2 linked regions of the Caenorhabditis elegans genome follow. The protein of the gene in region 1 interacts with the protein of each later gene in a pairwise test. Each region holds a gene or a part of one and is shown on either strand. Other genes may lie near its edges.

Region 1 (6,240 bases):
TAAAAATTTTTTCACACTTTTCAAAATTGCACCGAGGTTTTTCAAAAAACAAACTTTTTTTTGGTTTCCTGCCAAAAGTTTACAAAAAAATTTTAACCAAAAAATGAAATCCTGAGGTATTTGAAAAGGGGGAAACTTGGTTTCAATAGTTTTTTGTTCTACAAATCTGTTTTGGGTATTCCAGGCCGCACAACCTTCAACAACCTCAAATGGGCAATTCAATGACCCCTTCGCTACATTGGAAAGCTGGTAATACACCCATAACTTCTTTATTTTTATTCCAATAATATGATTTTGAAAAACTATTAATCTTACCTGTGCATCAATAAAGATCTTGTGAGTATATCATCGATCACAGTCTCCGATTTGTCTGAAATAACCGATTCCGTCTTATGAGAGTCCAAAAGTACCGAAGAGAGTTTTCCATTTGACATGAGACATGTTACTATTCCCTTATTCAGTGACAAGGGAACATAGGCGTGAGGTAGGCGTGTCGCGCTAACGTAGATCACAGATTCTCCTTGAATATGCTGTTTGCTCAGAAGAAACACGTAAATATTCTGAGAGTCAAATACGGCAAAGGTGTTTTTGTCGATTGTAAATGTCTCCCATATTGCTCCTTTGTACTGGAAAATTCAAAATTTCTTTGTGGAGAAAAATGTGCGCACATCGTAACAATGGGCCGACGATCTTCTAGAATTCAAAGATTTACTTCCGGGGTTTCATATTTCAATTTTATATCAGGCAAATATTGACTTTTTTCTATTCGGAGCTATAATTATAAAGTTAGAATTGAAACAAATTGAATATTTGAAAAATTGCGCAAGTGTTAAAGAAAATGGGGGAGTATATTTTTGGTCATGTGAGGTTTTTCATATGACTTACATGAGCACTGGATCCCACTGAAGGGAGCCTGAAGACTTCATCGTCAACTGCGCTGAAAAGTGTCAAAATTTATTCGCGTTGCTTCAGATTTTATGAAATCTGCAGCTTCTTTTCTTTTAAAGGTTCTTACGAATAAATCATAGCTTCTAGTCTGTCGTCGAAGCAGCAGCACACGACATTTGTCGGATGCGGGAATATGGAGCGAACTGGAACCACGTGACGATATTCACTGACTATAGCCCATTCTGATAGTGAAAAGTACACAATGTAGTTGTTCTGTAATATTTCTTACTGAATAGCTGAAAAATTCGTTTTTTTTTCAATTTGTTTAATTTGTCAATTGCGTATTTTCTTGCTCTCATTTTTAATATCCTTTTTGCTTTCAATCTTCCAAATCGAATATTATTTAAATAACAATTAAAAACTTGCGCGTCAGTTTAAATGCCTTACAGTAATTTGTGTGCATACACCGCCGCGCAACATGCACAGCGGCGCCTAATTTTATAAATTTTAGTTTTGAATTTTAGTTTTTTTCTTTTTGTTGCCATTTTCAAGCTTTTTCTCAAAATTTCTAGAAAATGTTAGCTTCGTAAATCAAAATATCAGTTTAACACTCACGCTCGTCGTAAAAATCAGAAAATTTTCGGTCAAAGCGTAAGAGTAGAGCGTCGCGTTGCGGTTCGCTTCGGGAAACTCAATTGATACGTTATCCTCGGAATTTCGGATTCGATGCAGGCGGAGCCTGCTCCCAAAGTTGACAGCAGCGTACATGTAGTTTAGCTGGATGTTTGTGACCGTGGAGAGGTACTCGACGCGATTGATGGGCTCCGCGGCAACTATGGTCGCTGAAAAGAGGGAGTTCTGCTTTAAAGCGAGATTTTAGGACGTAAAGTGTATAATTAAGTTAAAAAACGAGGGAAAATAAAAAATTTCGCAAAAATCAGATGTTTCTAAAATTTTGTTTTCGAGGTGCTGAAAAGTTGTCGATTTTCCGACTATTAGCTTGCATGATGTCTTTTGATGGAATATTCCAAAGCGGAACTCTTGAAACCTGTCATGAAATCCCTAATTTTTCGAATTTCCGCCAAAAATCTAAATTTTTCTTACGTTTCTCTGCAGCCGATTGAGTGGACTGCAGCTGTTGGGCAGCTTGCATCTGCGCAGGTGTATGATAATCATAGAAAAACACGGTATTATTATTGGCGACCGCCAAATTCAACGGCCCCAATCCCATAACAGTTGGTTCAATATTGAGCTCCAAAGTCGATGAGCCCTTTTTCTCGACTTCCGCCACCACAGTCACTTGTGTCAAGTTCGTCAGGTAGCAGATAGAGTTGTTGTAGGAAGCGGCAAGCGTTGGCATTTTTGTCACGAATATCGAGAGAACTCCGCTTTGGGACGACACTGCGACTAGTTGACCGTCTTCGGTCACCTCGATCTCGCTCAGATCTGCAAATTTGTTCGAAAAAATAGCTCAGCTTGCAGTAAAACCAGCTTCTCACTTTTCTCAGTTTCAATTTCTGTCAGCATAGTAACAGTCGTAAGCTCGTCGAGATCCCGAACTTTGACCCTGAAAATCATGAAATATTATCTGAAATACCGATTCTTCGTACATGTTGTCTCCGATGGTGAGAAGCTTGTTAAACGAGGTGCTAACAGCAATAGAAGCCAGATATCCACGATATTCGAGGAAACTGACTAGCTCCGAGCCGATTTCGTTGTTATGTGCCGAAATCGATATTATATAGCCACGGTCAAAGCCGATGAGTATATAACCGTCGTTAAACCACCTATAGGAGTGAATATTTCCATATTTCTCCTGAAACTGAAGATTCACGGGTTCGTCGAGAGCATTGTAATGCGCGAGCATCAGAATCTTCTTCCCTATAACCACGCTGACCATCGTGACACCGCTTCCACCTTTTCCATTCACGGAACCATAATCCATATTTGTGGGCTCTCCGTTTGTCGTCGTTGTGCTCACTGTGGTGCCCTCCAGTGTGGTTACTACAAATTTAGGTATTACTTGTATCAATTTTTAATGCCACGTTTTTTCGAGAGTTGGTTTTCATCTTAATATTGTTCTCTTGAAATAAATATAAAATTGAGGTCAAATTTATTTGGAAAGTTAAAACCTCTTGCAATAATACCCAGTAAATCGGAGGAACTATATTTTCATTCAATTCATTTCTCTGGGTTGACTGTTTTCAATTTTTTTCCAAAACATGATTTTCGAATATAATTTGAACGGAAATATTCTAACCTGAAAGTGTATTATCGTCACTACAAGAAATTACATAATCCTCCGGGGTTACTGTAATCTGTGTGACACTTCGTTGATGTTTTCCCATCACGGCTATCCGCCGAGACGTTCGATGATTGTAGACGACGATATTTCCTGCGTTGTTGCCGATTACCAGTGTAGGAGTACTTGGGGACCATGCAAGACATGTTGGGAGCTCTCTGGAATGAAGCAAGTTTTGGTGTATCACTTTTTAAATCTGAAGTACGTAGAAATACAACGAAAAATCTGTAATCTTTTGAAAACTCCAAAAAATCTCACAGTTTCAAAATTTTGAAATAATATTTTGTAACCGTATTTAGAAAATGCCCCCGTTTTTCAACTCACTTTGAAGAGGTCGCTCCACTCTCAACAGTATCTGTATTCCGCGAGTTCACATCCCATAGATAAATAGTCCCGGTATTTGCTACGGCAATCGCTAGTACATCACCTTCCTTATCCCAAGCTATGTCGATAAGTTTTCTGGAAGTTGAAAAAAGTGTAAATCACGAAAATCTTCTTTTTTCTTTACATTTCAAAAAACTCTGAACTCACCCAGTTGGATTCAACGCGTCAATAACATTTCCTTTCTTATCGTAATAGATGACCGTGTTATTGGCGCTGAAAAGTATAATTTATTGCTTGGAAAAGCTCAGCTTTAAAATGCATTTAAAAAGCTTCAAATTCAGAAATTCCAGAACCGATAATAATAAATTGAGAAATAATGATGAAAATTCAAATTTTCAAAAATCTGAACAATCAGCGATTGGCTCCACCCATTTTCAAACCAATCAAGGTCTTTGCAAACGCATTGGTCATGAAGCTCCCATTTTGGAAAAAAAATCAAACAGGACAATTAGCCAAAATTGAAAATCCTACTTCTAAAAGTTGGCTTTAAATTCTTTCTCGATTTTTTTCGTCTTTTTTGGAGTTTTTGAATTTTGAATATTTTAAAGAAAAATCTTTAAAAAAGATACTGTTAAAAATAAGAATTAAACAAAAAATAAACAAACCATGCAACAGCTACAGTATGCCCATTTGGTCTCCATCGATGAATAATCGGTCCACTTCCGTGCTCTTCTTCGCCTCTTCGATATTGAAGCTGAGCAGAAACACATTTAAATACTTCCTGATTTTTTGTGAGAGTACACGGAATTACCTTTAATGACATTTATATGAATGAAGATCTCCGTTGTTTTCGACGTTTGCCACTGCTCCCCTATGATTTGTCACTTATGTCACGAGCCTACAAATAATGGTTACAAAAAATGAAGTACAAATCATTGAGCTACCCGAGCCTTTGGGGAGTTGTTGCCTTGGTAACCGGGCTACACAGTGTGTGTTGAGCACGCAAATTGAGGAAAGAACAGGGGAAGTGGAAGAGGGGATTTGATCATTCCCGGTTTGGGAATAATGACAATTAGTAGAATTTTCTGGATTCTCGAGAAAAAAAAACAAACCGCAATTTCATCTTTTTATGTGAATATCGAACAAAAATATTTGATAAAATTATTCATTTACACATCTGGGGCAAATACATTTGTAATGGGAGAGCATTACGGGTACACTAAATTTTGAGAAGTATCTCATAGCGAAAACTACAGTAGTTTTTTTAATTAGTACTGTAGCACTGCTCCGATTTTATTTTGGTTTTTGGCCATTTATTCCAAGTTTAGCCAAAAAATGCACAAAAATGCCAAAAGGGTATTCTTTTTTTTAATTTTTCAATATTAAAATTTTTAGAGAAAACTTTATAATCAAATTCCAAAACGACTCCACCTTTAATAACTTCAAATATTAATTTAATTTTAAATTTTAGACTTCAGAAAATTATTCTTAATTTTTGTTCTAAACAGATTTCCTTTTTAAAATCCTCCTTTTCTCACATGTCACATTTTTCATTGTCATTGCCAACTTCTAACATATGACGTTCAATATATTTTTAACGTTTGTTATCTCTTTTCAATATATCTTCTCTAAAAATCAAATTTCAGCTTCTCCACCATATCCCCGAAAATCTTCAGTGTAACCTCCACAGGAAACCGGTCCGAGGTTCACCGTCCACAGGCAAAACTGGCGTCGAATACACAGCCGACATCGAATCGTACGACACTTGGCCGCCGTAAGGCAATTTCTGACGACAATTTTCCCGTCGTTGAGCCGATATTGAAGAAAATGTGAGTGCGTCTGCTGCGCATCGATCGATATTATTTGGTTTATGACCCCTGGTTTCTCATTTTTCGGTTTGAATATTAAATAATTGAACGAATTAAAAAAAGAAAGAATAATTAAAATCACGTGATTCTTTTTATCAATTAAATTTTCGTGTTTAGTTTTTTAATCCGCATTTCAAAAATTTTCGCTTTTTCCGTAAAAATGGCAAGTTCCACAAAAGTTTCCTTACGGTACCCGTTATTTTTTTTTGAAAATTTCGCACAAATTGTCATCATTTTCAGTCGTCCACCTCGTCCACAGGTTATGTACTCACTGAAGCCAAAAGTTGTGGAATTTGACAAAGTATGGGTGCAGTTGAGACCATCTATCATTGATATCATCAATTTGCGGCCGATCACCAATGTTCAGTGGCATCACAAGTTTAGGTAAGTTTTGAAGGAAAAGTTTGATTTTTTCCAGTGATAGAAATTTCAGAAAGTATCATTTCTGTCATTCAACAGATTTTTCGAATTTTTAATTTGAAAAAAAAGATTTTTTGGGATTTTTTGTTCAAAAATGTCTTGATTTTTGGCCAATATCTAAAGTTTTTGTGCAAAAACTATTTATATATAAGGCAAAAATTACCTTTTTGTTATTAATCCGATTTTGTAAAAATGTTATGTTTTAAAAAATCAATTTTTGAAGTTATTTTCAGCAATCGCGTTGTTTGTAAGCAACAATCCTAAATTCGATTTTTGACAGAGAAAAAAAGTTTTTCGAGGATTTTGTCCACAAAATCCGAAAATTTTTTGACAAAACTATTTTTTTTTATTTCACGTGTATAATTCACTGAAAAACTCAATCATTATTCCAAGAATTGTAAAAAATTGCTCCAAAACACTAACATTCACTTATTTTCC
Region 2 (9,121 bases), on another chromosome or scaffold:
GATATAAAGAGCGTAATATTGAGAAGAAAATTATATTATAGAGAGAATTCTCAGGGCAATAGGAGAAACCCAAATTTCATTAATGTATAAACGTAAGAATTTATCATCAAGTGCTCTTCGGTGTGGGAACTTAAGTTATGAAATAATAAAGATCAGATTGCGTTTTATGGATATGATGCTTGTCTTATATAACTTACAGGTTTTCAAGTACTTTACAGAATCGTCACGAACAAAATTGGTTAAAGTTACTTTTTTACAGGGTTATAATAAATGTTAATATGGAGTGCAATCCATAAAAAGTTACATAACTTAAATTTTGGAAATCGTCCGAAACACCTGATTCTTATATCGTTCGCAAATGACGCCCAACACAAAAATTACAGGAATTTCCTTTTTTAAAGCACAAATAATTTGTCATAGAAGGTTGGAACAAACAATCATATTGTTCTTTTTCTGAATGAAAGAACCTAACAGCTGACTTTTTTGCATAGTATTTTTGGTGGAAAACGTGCATGTTATCAAGTTCACCTACTGGATATAACAACTGAACTATTATTCAAATGTCGCGCGACAATATAAATATTCAGAAAACACAAAAGTATCGAAAGATCATGTAATGACCAATGATGAAAGTAGTAACAATTATGAATCACGCTCGGGTTGTAGGTCAAACTATATTCTGAACAGTACAGAGGATTTATAAGTATGTAATTGATCACGACGTAGGCAGAAGAGATGTTTCTAACCATTGGTTCAATATAAAATTGGGCATTTATATTGGAAGTAATCAAATAATGTTGTGAACAGATATGACCATTGAAAAATTGCTTAAATTACAGCATAAGAACCTTCCAAAGTGTTTTTATTTCTGATCAAAAAATGGAAATAAAAGTTAACTTGATCTATAGGTTTGCGGTCAAAGTGCCATTTATCTTCATAATATACAGGATGGCCCATAATTATGGGGACCGTAGTTTTGTACGCAAATCTCACGTCTCACAAACTAAAAAATGAGGGTTTGTTACTTTATTGATAGACAAAATATTTTTCTATCAGCTAACATAAAAAACTTTTCGATTGGTCGAACAACAGAAGTTTGGCAGCGTCGGGAGTGTAACATGTTTTCACCCTTCTGGCGCGCAACTTTTTTTTGCATAGTTTAGGTTCTCTAAATGTTGAAACTGATTTTTTCTGTAGTGTTTTGTGCATTTTAGAACCACAAAATATATTCTCACAGTATACAAAAAAAGAAAAACAAGTTTCATTAGAATCCAGCTTCTAATGGACAATTGTTTGGAACTAGCTAAATCCCGTTTTCGCAAAAAATTGAGCGATTTTTTCACACATTCTTGCATATTCAGTAATATCTCAGGTCATTGGAATGATAGGGACATAATTTTTTACACAAAAGTAGAAGTTGGACTGTAGATCTGAAATATATTATTTTCAAAAAATTCCGCCGTCTCCTGACTTTCAAACCGAGTCGAATGTGCGCGTTTTGAGCTTTTCAACCTATCTCCCTTCAATCAATGGCCACACTAACGGAAAATTATTAAAATGGACGAATTGTTTTGAAATACGTATTCTACAGTCAATGTCATTTTAAAAAGTAATAGTAAACTTTTTAAACTGGCAGGAGTCGCTGAAGACATCATTAGAAAGAAAAACACCCACACTAGCGCGCCAGCGACAATTTAACTTCGGAACGTCGGAAGGTGTGTAACGTGTCACATAATGATATTTTCAAAGTTTAATAACATATTTTGTTCCTAAGAATATGGGGAATAAAACCTATGCTGTTAAAATTTTTTTGAAGGATTGCATCAAATTTTATAGACGCAAGTATCGGTCCCCATAATTATGGGCCACCCTGTACTTATGTACATAGTAGGGTAAATGATTTCCAATACAACTTTGATTTATGTTAAATGTTTTAATGTTCAACATTTGTGGGGGAACTTTATTCATGATAAGAACCCAGGAAAATTATGTACTTATTTTGTCTTTTTTTTTGCCTTTGCCCGTCAGTTCAAACCCAAGTTCTTTCTTGAAACATCCCCTTTTCCGAATTTATCTAGATGTTTCCCCGAAATTTTAATAATTCACTTATCTGGTTTTAAATCGACATTTTTCTTCAATACTGCCCCTTTCTTTCCAATTCCATTCGAATATCTATTCCGCCTTCCCCCGCGAGCAAAATCTCCATGGCAACCAAAACACGCATCTCCCCTTTGTTGTTTACTTTTTGTCCTTACTTCCCGATTTCTTCAATTATTAACATAAATGAAACCATTTTTAATTGAATGGGCACCTCACTGTGGTTGGATTTGTGTTGTAACTCAAGATGAGACAACTGGAGAAGCAAATGTCGCATTTTCGGATCATTCAGTAAGAAAAATGAACAATCGAACGAGATTATAATCTGTTTTATTCATGGATCAAAGCTAAATCCTTGAGTTATTTTCAATAGATCTTTAAAACAAATATGTACTTGAGCGTATCTTCCCGTTTATTAGATAATAATTGAAACAATTTTAAGGGATCTGTGCAAGAAAAGGGGCCATCAAAACCAGGATCAGTTTCTTGTGTAAGATGGCATCCAAAGAAACAATTCGTGGTAGTAGGATGGAAAGATGGAGGAGTTTGTTTTATTCCAAAAGGAGGGAATGTTTGTGAGTGATTTTCAAAAAACTAATACTACAAAAAGTTATATATATATATATAAATAATGTTTTAGTAATGGAAAACTCATTTCAGCTCATACTGTGGTCGAAACATATCCATTTCCAAATCAAGGAGTAGATTGGAGCCACGACGGAACTGTTTTGATGACGTTGCATAATGTGAGTATCAATTTAAAAAACTTACAAATTATTTTATTTAATTTCAGCCATCATCAGTCCATTTATACTCCTACATGGTAATTGGAGAAGAAATTTCCACTTCAAATATAATGCAGATTGAGCTGAACGATCAAATTACGTTATGGTGTAAACGATTGAGCTATGACAAGTAATATAATTCATAAATCTGAGTGAAATTAAAAATGGTAAAATTTAAGATTCAAACCAAGTAAAATTTCTGTAACGGATGATGACAGTGGAGTTGATGAGTCACCGTTCGGTTCAAAAGAGTCACTGGCAGAAAGAAGAGATGAAAAGAGTACTGTACCAAAGGGTACTGAGTTCTTATTTGCAGGCAAATCAGGTACCATTTATGGAGTGGATAATGACCGACAACGGACTATTCATAAGGTGAGCTAGGATAAAGGTTACTAGTCTATGCACAAATGTAGCCAACTTTGTATTGAAGAGTTCTGGTTCCTAATAAATATTTACAAGCAGATGAAATAATACAGTAGTTTATAATTTTTCAAAATTTTCCATGTTTAGTAAAAAAATTTATAAATTCTACTTCTATGGAAGTTGCACGCACTGTATGCCAATTAATTACTATTAAGCAAAATGCAAGAAGGCAAAGGAAAAATTTAATTGTAAGAAAACTCCAATAAAAAAGCGACGAGTAGGAAATACTGTTCTCTTTAAAGACTCACGCCTCTTTTCACAACAGTCTTTTACATTACAGTGGTCCAGATTCACCTATGCTGTAGAGAAGTTACTTTGACCGCTCCAAAAATAATTTTAGAGATAAAAGGCATCAAGAATTTGTTTAAGAAGATTTTGATTTTCTCGTAAATATAAAAATTCTATTCAAAAATACAAACAGAACTACAGAAAATTTTTTAAAAATTTATCCAAATATTATTATTTTTGACATATCTGACTAGTGGTTACTCATAAATAAAAACTCAAATTATGTTTAAAAATCTAAAATTAAAAAATTGGAAAAATTTTCAGCTGGACTCGGAAATCTTATTCATGGGATACTGTGAGACAATATCGATAATTATTGTATTTACAAGAGATTGCTTCATTTTTCATTTGGCCAAGGGAACATCTGAAATGCGATGCGCAGAACGAGTAAAAGTGAAACTCGGAGGAAAATCTGAAAAATATTCTTTGGAATTGGATGATGGAATACTGGTGATGTGTTATGGTGAAAAAGAAATTCGAGTATGGGACTTGATAAAAGAGGAGAATGGAACAATTGCATTAGATGTAAACAAGGGATTTCAACCAGATGAGACAATAAATGTAGTCACAGTTAATGGGAAAAGAGGTAAGAAAACCGGAAATAGAGGTAATCAAAGAAAATATTGATCAGGTGTGATAACTGCGGCAACGAGTCTCAATAATATTGCTGAATGGAAACGAAAACGAACTGATACTAATGTCGAGAGTGCTTGGAATTTGAGTCCCAGCACGCATGTCGATAGCCAGGTGAGTGAAGATGACACGCTAATCCCCTTTTAGAATGTTAGATGAGAATATCCTCCAAATGTTATTCCTATTCGAGTTTCTTATAAATTTTGAGTTTATAGAACTGAACTAAAAACAAAATAGCTTTTTCCAAAGTAGGAAATTTTTTCAGTTTTCCACAAAAACATAGTATTTTAATAGTGTATATTTTTTCATCTATTTCGGTTGAGAACGTTTATTTTGCTAGTTGTCATTCAAACTTCATTTGTCAACATAGTTATAGCCAATTCACTCAACCTCACAAAATTAATTTGTTTTTTGATGTTTGATATGGTAGTCTATGTGTTTTAGTGTGAATTTTTTAACTCCATACTTTTGATTTTTTGCTGAGTGCTGCCAATGCCTCTAACCGGAACTACAACACTATAATTTTTTAACTTACATTAAGGTATACTTAAAATGCAATTATTATGATAACCTAAACGTCTAATTTTAAGAGAGCTTATTTAAGGTTTCATTAATTCGTTGGAGTCCGATACTGAGCACAGCTGCTTTAATAACTGAAGAAGATCTTGTCTTAATTGGAGAAAACTCATTGACAGTAAAAATGCGTGGAAAAATGGCGGCAATTCAGACCAGTTCAAATAGTTTCACTCTTTTACATGCGACAAGTGGAGTCTCTCAAGATTTGAAGTTGTCTATTCCTTCTGCAAAAGGAATTTGTCTCGGAGAGAAGCAACTTGTTGTTTGGAATGAAGATACGGTATTCAACAGATATTCTGAATCACCGGTTTAATAAAAATTTGCAGGTAGTCACTTATGACGTACAAACATCTCTTGCAACTATCCAATGCACATCATTTTCTTGTAACACAACTTCTGTTGCAATTGTGAATCAAAACTTGTATTGCATCGAAAAAGACAAAATATTTGCGAGGACTCTTCAAGGAACTCTTCGACAAGAAATTTCCTTACCGGAAATTGAAGGTGATCCGGAAATACTTGAAGTGAATCGATGTTGGATGGCAGTTGCTACTACAAATGGATTCATTCGAATTTATAACTTAAGCGCAAAGTACAAAAATTTACTAGAAGCTATTGATTTATTGATATTAAACTTTCAGAGATGCCCAACAAGAACACAATTCGAAATACATTATCGAAAATGTGAAGAATTTTTATAAATTTCATACAATCCGAATCAATCATACTGGAAATAAAGTCGCTGTATCTTATTTAGAGGTAGTTGTTTTGTTGCAAATAATGCAGGAGCTTAAAATTTTTCAGGACGTGTCGACAGTTGCTGAACGCCTACTTGTCTACGACGCCGAACTCGATGCAGTTTCTTATTTCTCGTTTGATCGTGGAATGACAGATACGCAAGAATATGAAACCCAAGCAGAACTTGCTCATACAAGCAGTGGAAGACCTGTTACAGCAGCTGCACGGAAAATGGCAAGAGAACAATCAAGATTTCAAATGATGAACCATCGTCCTGGAGCTTTTGAATGGGATGAGAATGATGCAAGATATCTTGTAGTTGAATGCATACATGTTGAACCTGAATCAGTAAGTTACTTCAATCTGGACAAATGTAGAATTTTCAAAACAATATAACACATTTTTAACCAGGTCAATTGTTTAAAAAAACTTAGAAAACTTCCATCTTGTTTTCAGACCGATCAAAGAGTTTTAACAGCATTTGTAACTTCTGAACATGGAATACAACTTCAAGGAATGCAGCAAAAAAATCTGCATTGTGGAAAACTTGTTTCAGTCTCTGTTCCAAATTTTTATTTTGTTCGGAAATCTGGATGGGATGAGGAAGACAATCGAGATGAGAGAACTATTGGAAAAACTCTCGTGGCTAAATGTCTTCGAGAGTTTTTAGGTATGAAAGGACCCAGTTGCAAGTTATAAAAATACATTTATTTCAGGAAACGAAAATTGTGACGAATCAACTAGAAAAGCCATGATGGATTTCTCATTTTACCTGACGATTGGTAGCATGGACGCTGCATTTAAAGCAATTCAATTCATAAAAAGGTCCGTTGTTAACTCAAGAAACTCTATTTGTGATTATGATTTTTAAGCGATAGTGTATGGGATCATATGGCATCAATGAGTATTAAAACACGTCGACTAGATGTTGCAATGGTTTGTCTGGGACATATGAAAAATGTGAGAGGAGCCCGGGCGGTGCGGAGATCTCAACAAAATGGGGAGAATGATTCAATGAAGTGTGCAGCTTTGGCAATTGAATTGAGTATGCTGGAGGAAGCATTGATTATCTATGCACAAAATGAAAGATATGATTTGATGAACAAGCTTTATCAGTCTCAAAATATGTGGTCATCAGCTTTTGAAATTGCTGAAACAAAGGATCGTATTCATTTGAGAAATACTCATTACAACTATGCAAAGTATTTGGAAGCAAGAAGAGATCAAGCAAGTATTGAAGCTGCTATTGAGAAGTTGGTTTATTTGTAGTTTTGAATGATAACAAAAAATATATTTTCAGTTACGAAAAAGCAGGAGTTCATGCTTTTGAAGTTTTCCGAATGCTCAAAGACTATCCAAAACAAATAGAACAATATGTTCGTAGAAAACGTGAAGAGCGAGTTTATTCAAAAATTCTAAAAAATATTAATTCACAAAAATTCAGATCATTGTATAGTTGGTGGGGAGCCTACTTGGAAAGTGTTGGAGAATTGGAGGGTGCAATAAGCTTCTACTCTTCTGCAAAAGATTATTACTGCATGGTTCGTGTAAAGTGTATTCAAGGCAAAACCGATGAGGCTGCTCGGCTTGCCGAAGAATCAAAAGATAAAGCAGCGTGTTATCTAATTGGAAGAATGTATGAAAATGATGGTGACGTAGTGAAAGCTGTGAAATTCTTCACAAAGGCACGAGCGCTGTCATCTGCAATACGTCTCGCAAAAGAGCATGACATGAAAGATAGGCTTGCTAATTTATGCTTGATGGCGGGTGGATCTGAACTTGTAAGCGCTGCAAGATACTACGAAGATCTTCCTGGATATGCACACAAAGCTGTAATGCTGTATCATAAAGCTGGAATGATTGGAAGAGCTCTTGATTTGGCATTTCGTACTGAACAGTTCAGCGCTCTGGATTTAATTACCAAGGATTTGGATGCAGGAACAGATCCAAAAATATTGAGAAGAGCTGCTGAATTCTTTGAAAATAATCAAAACTACGAGAAGGCAGTTAACTTTTTGTGCCTAGCAAAAGAGTTTTCTGGAGCCGTACAATTATGCAAAAATAGGAATGTGAGAGTCAGTGATAAATTTGCAGAACTTATGACTCCAACAAAAGGTTCGTGTTTTCTTTTGAGATTCATGTAAAATTTACACATTTTGAAGATGACATGCCAAATGTACAAGAAAGAAAACAAGTTCTTGAAACAGTGGCGGAGCTTTGTCTTCAACAAGGTGCCTACTCAGCAGCAGCAAAGAAGTTTACACAAGCAGGAGACAAACTATCTGTATGTTGGTATAATTTATATAATGCTCAGTTTCCATTTCAGGCAATGAGAGCTCTTCTCAAATCCGGAGACATTCAAAAAATTCGATTTTTTGCAAACACTGCTCGAAACAAGGAGATCTACATTCTGGCAGCCAATTTCTTACAAACGACTGATTGGCAAGATAATCAGCAGACAATGAAAGATATCGAAACATTTTATACAAAATCACAATCTTTTGAACATCTTGGAAATTTCTACAAATCAGTTGCAATTGTATGAGGTTCTTAGTGTTTGACATGTTATTTGTTTATTTTTAGATTGAAGCCGAACATTTGAGAACTCTTGATAAATCGATGGGAGCTTTGGAAATGGCGGCAGTTTGTGTTCTGGAAGCAGAACAAAAAAATATGTCCACGACTGGACTTGATGCATTGAAAGAGGATTTGAAAAAATATGTAGTTCAACTGAGGAAACTGCAGAGTGTTTTAGAGTGAGTAAAAAATTCAAGAATTGGGCTGAAAAATTAATTTAGAGTAATGAAAAACGATGCAGCGGATGGAATGCGTCAATTAACAACTCTTGCAGAAGAATCAATTGATGATGATATTGTCCCGTGTACACGACTTTTTGCTCTTATAATTGAAGATCATGCCTCTCGGAAGAATTGGAAACCTGCGTACAGAGCAATTACAGGATTACAAAAGAAAGTACCAAATGTTGATTTGGAAACTTTCGTAGAGACATCCACATTGGATAAAGTATGTGATGAAATGAGAATGGAAAGAGTGACAAAGAAAAAGAAAGAAGAAGTTGAATCTGATGGTGAAGAAGTCGATTTTTCACATTCTTTACGGAGACAAAATGTTTCGTAATATTGTAATATTAATATTTTTATTGAACAATGAAAATAATCTGATATGGAACTCGTTTACCAAAGTGATGTTGTTATATTTCTGCGAAGATACACGTTTTGTTGGTGACTTAATGCTCCAATTTGAAATTGAAAACTAGCAATGTTTTCTACATCTTCGATAGTTGATGTGTAATCAAGAAGAATGGCATCAGAATCCTGTTTCAGAATTTTAACTTGATTATGAAACCAAATATTTATTAGTGACCTACCATACAATCCATTGTTGTTTTTTTGTTCAAAATAGGAAAAACGAAAGCTAGTGCTTTCGTGTCACTATACTTTTTGCATAATGGTGGATTTGTAGACAGCCAATTTCCGGTACATGTAATCAGAATACGGTAGAAATGAGTTGGCTCTCTAAAATGAAAAATTAAAATTCAATAGGTTTTAATTGTAGGTACT

The links.
Region 2: the proteins of dyf-2 (region 1) and che-11 interact in a protein complementation assay, tested with the Caenorhabditis elegans proteins (one study listed by BioGRID).

What each region holds. Positions count from the first base shown.
Region 1 is NC_003281.10:13,682,109-13,688,348, forward strand, and holds the start of dyf-2 (WD repeat-containing protein dyf-2), read right to left. Parts: upstream 4,432-6,240; 5' UTR 4,338-4,431; coding exon 4,326-4,337; intron 4,269-4,325; coding exon 4,180-4,268; intron 3,788-4,179; coding exon 3,722-3,787; intron 3,650-3,721; coding exon 3,515-3,649; intron 3,349-3,514; coding exon 3,149-3,348; intron 2,893-3,148; coding exon 2,499-2,892; intron 2,456-2,498; coding exon 2,388-2,455; intron 2,335-2,387; coding exon 1,993-2,334; intron 1,731-1,992; coding exon 1,504-1,730; intron 1,162-1,503; coding exon 1,016-1,161; intron 938-1,015; coding exon 886-937; intron 627-885; coding exon 316-626; exon of another isoform or gene 254-315; coding exon of another isoform or gene 185-253; intron 1-184. Other genes in the region: sid-2 (Systemic RNA interference defective protein 2), read left to right, coding at 185-253; cul-2 (Cullin-2), read left to right, coding at 5,543-5,571, 5,623-5,766.
Region 2 is NC_003283.11:12,143,852-12,152,972, reverse strand, and holds che-11 (WD_REPEATS_REGION domain-containing protein), read left to right. Parts: upstream 1-2,265; 5' UTR 2,266-2,283; coding exon 2,284-2,388; intron 2,389-2,539; coding exon 2,540-2,672; intron 2,673-2,757; coding exon 2,758-2,843; intron 2,844-2,890; coding exon 2,891-3,012; intron 3,013-3,061; coding exon 3,062-3,254; intron 3,255-3,857; coding exon 3,858-4,179; intron 4,180-4,224; coding exon 4,225-4,340; intron 4,341-4,830; coding exon 4,831-5,082; intron 5,083-5,128; coding exon 5,129-5,394; intron 5,395-5,443; coding exon 5,444-5,561; intron 5,562-5,606; coding exon 5,607-5,888; intron 5,889-5,996; coding exon 5,997-6,210; intron 6,211-6,256; coding exon 6,257-6,365; intron 6,366-6,412; coding exon 6,413-6,793; intron 6,794-6,840; coding exon 6,841-6,936; intron 6,937-6,984; coding exon 6,985-7,655; intron 7,656-7,702; coding exon 7,703-7,824; intron 7,825-7,866; coding exon 7,867-8,079; intron 8,080-8,123; coding exon 8,124-8,296; intron 8,297-8,338; and 3 more. Other genes in the region: Ectonucleotide pyrophosphatase/phosphodiesterase C27A7.3, read right to left, coding at 8,735-8,875, 8,929-9,076, 9,121-9,121.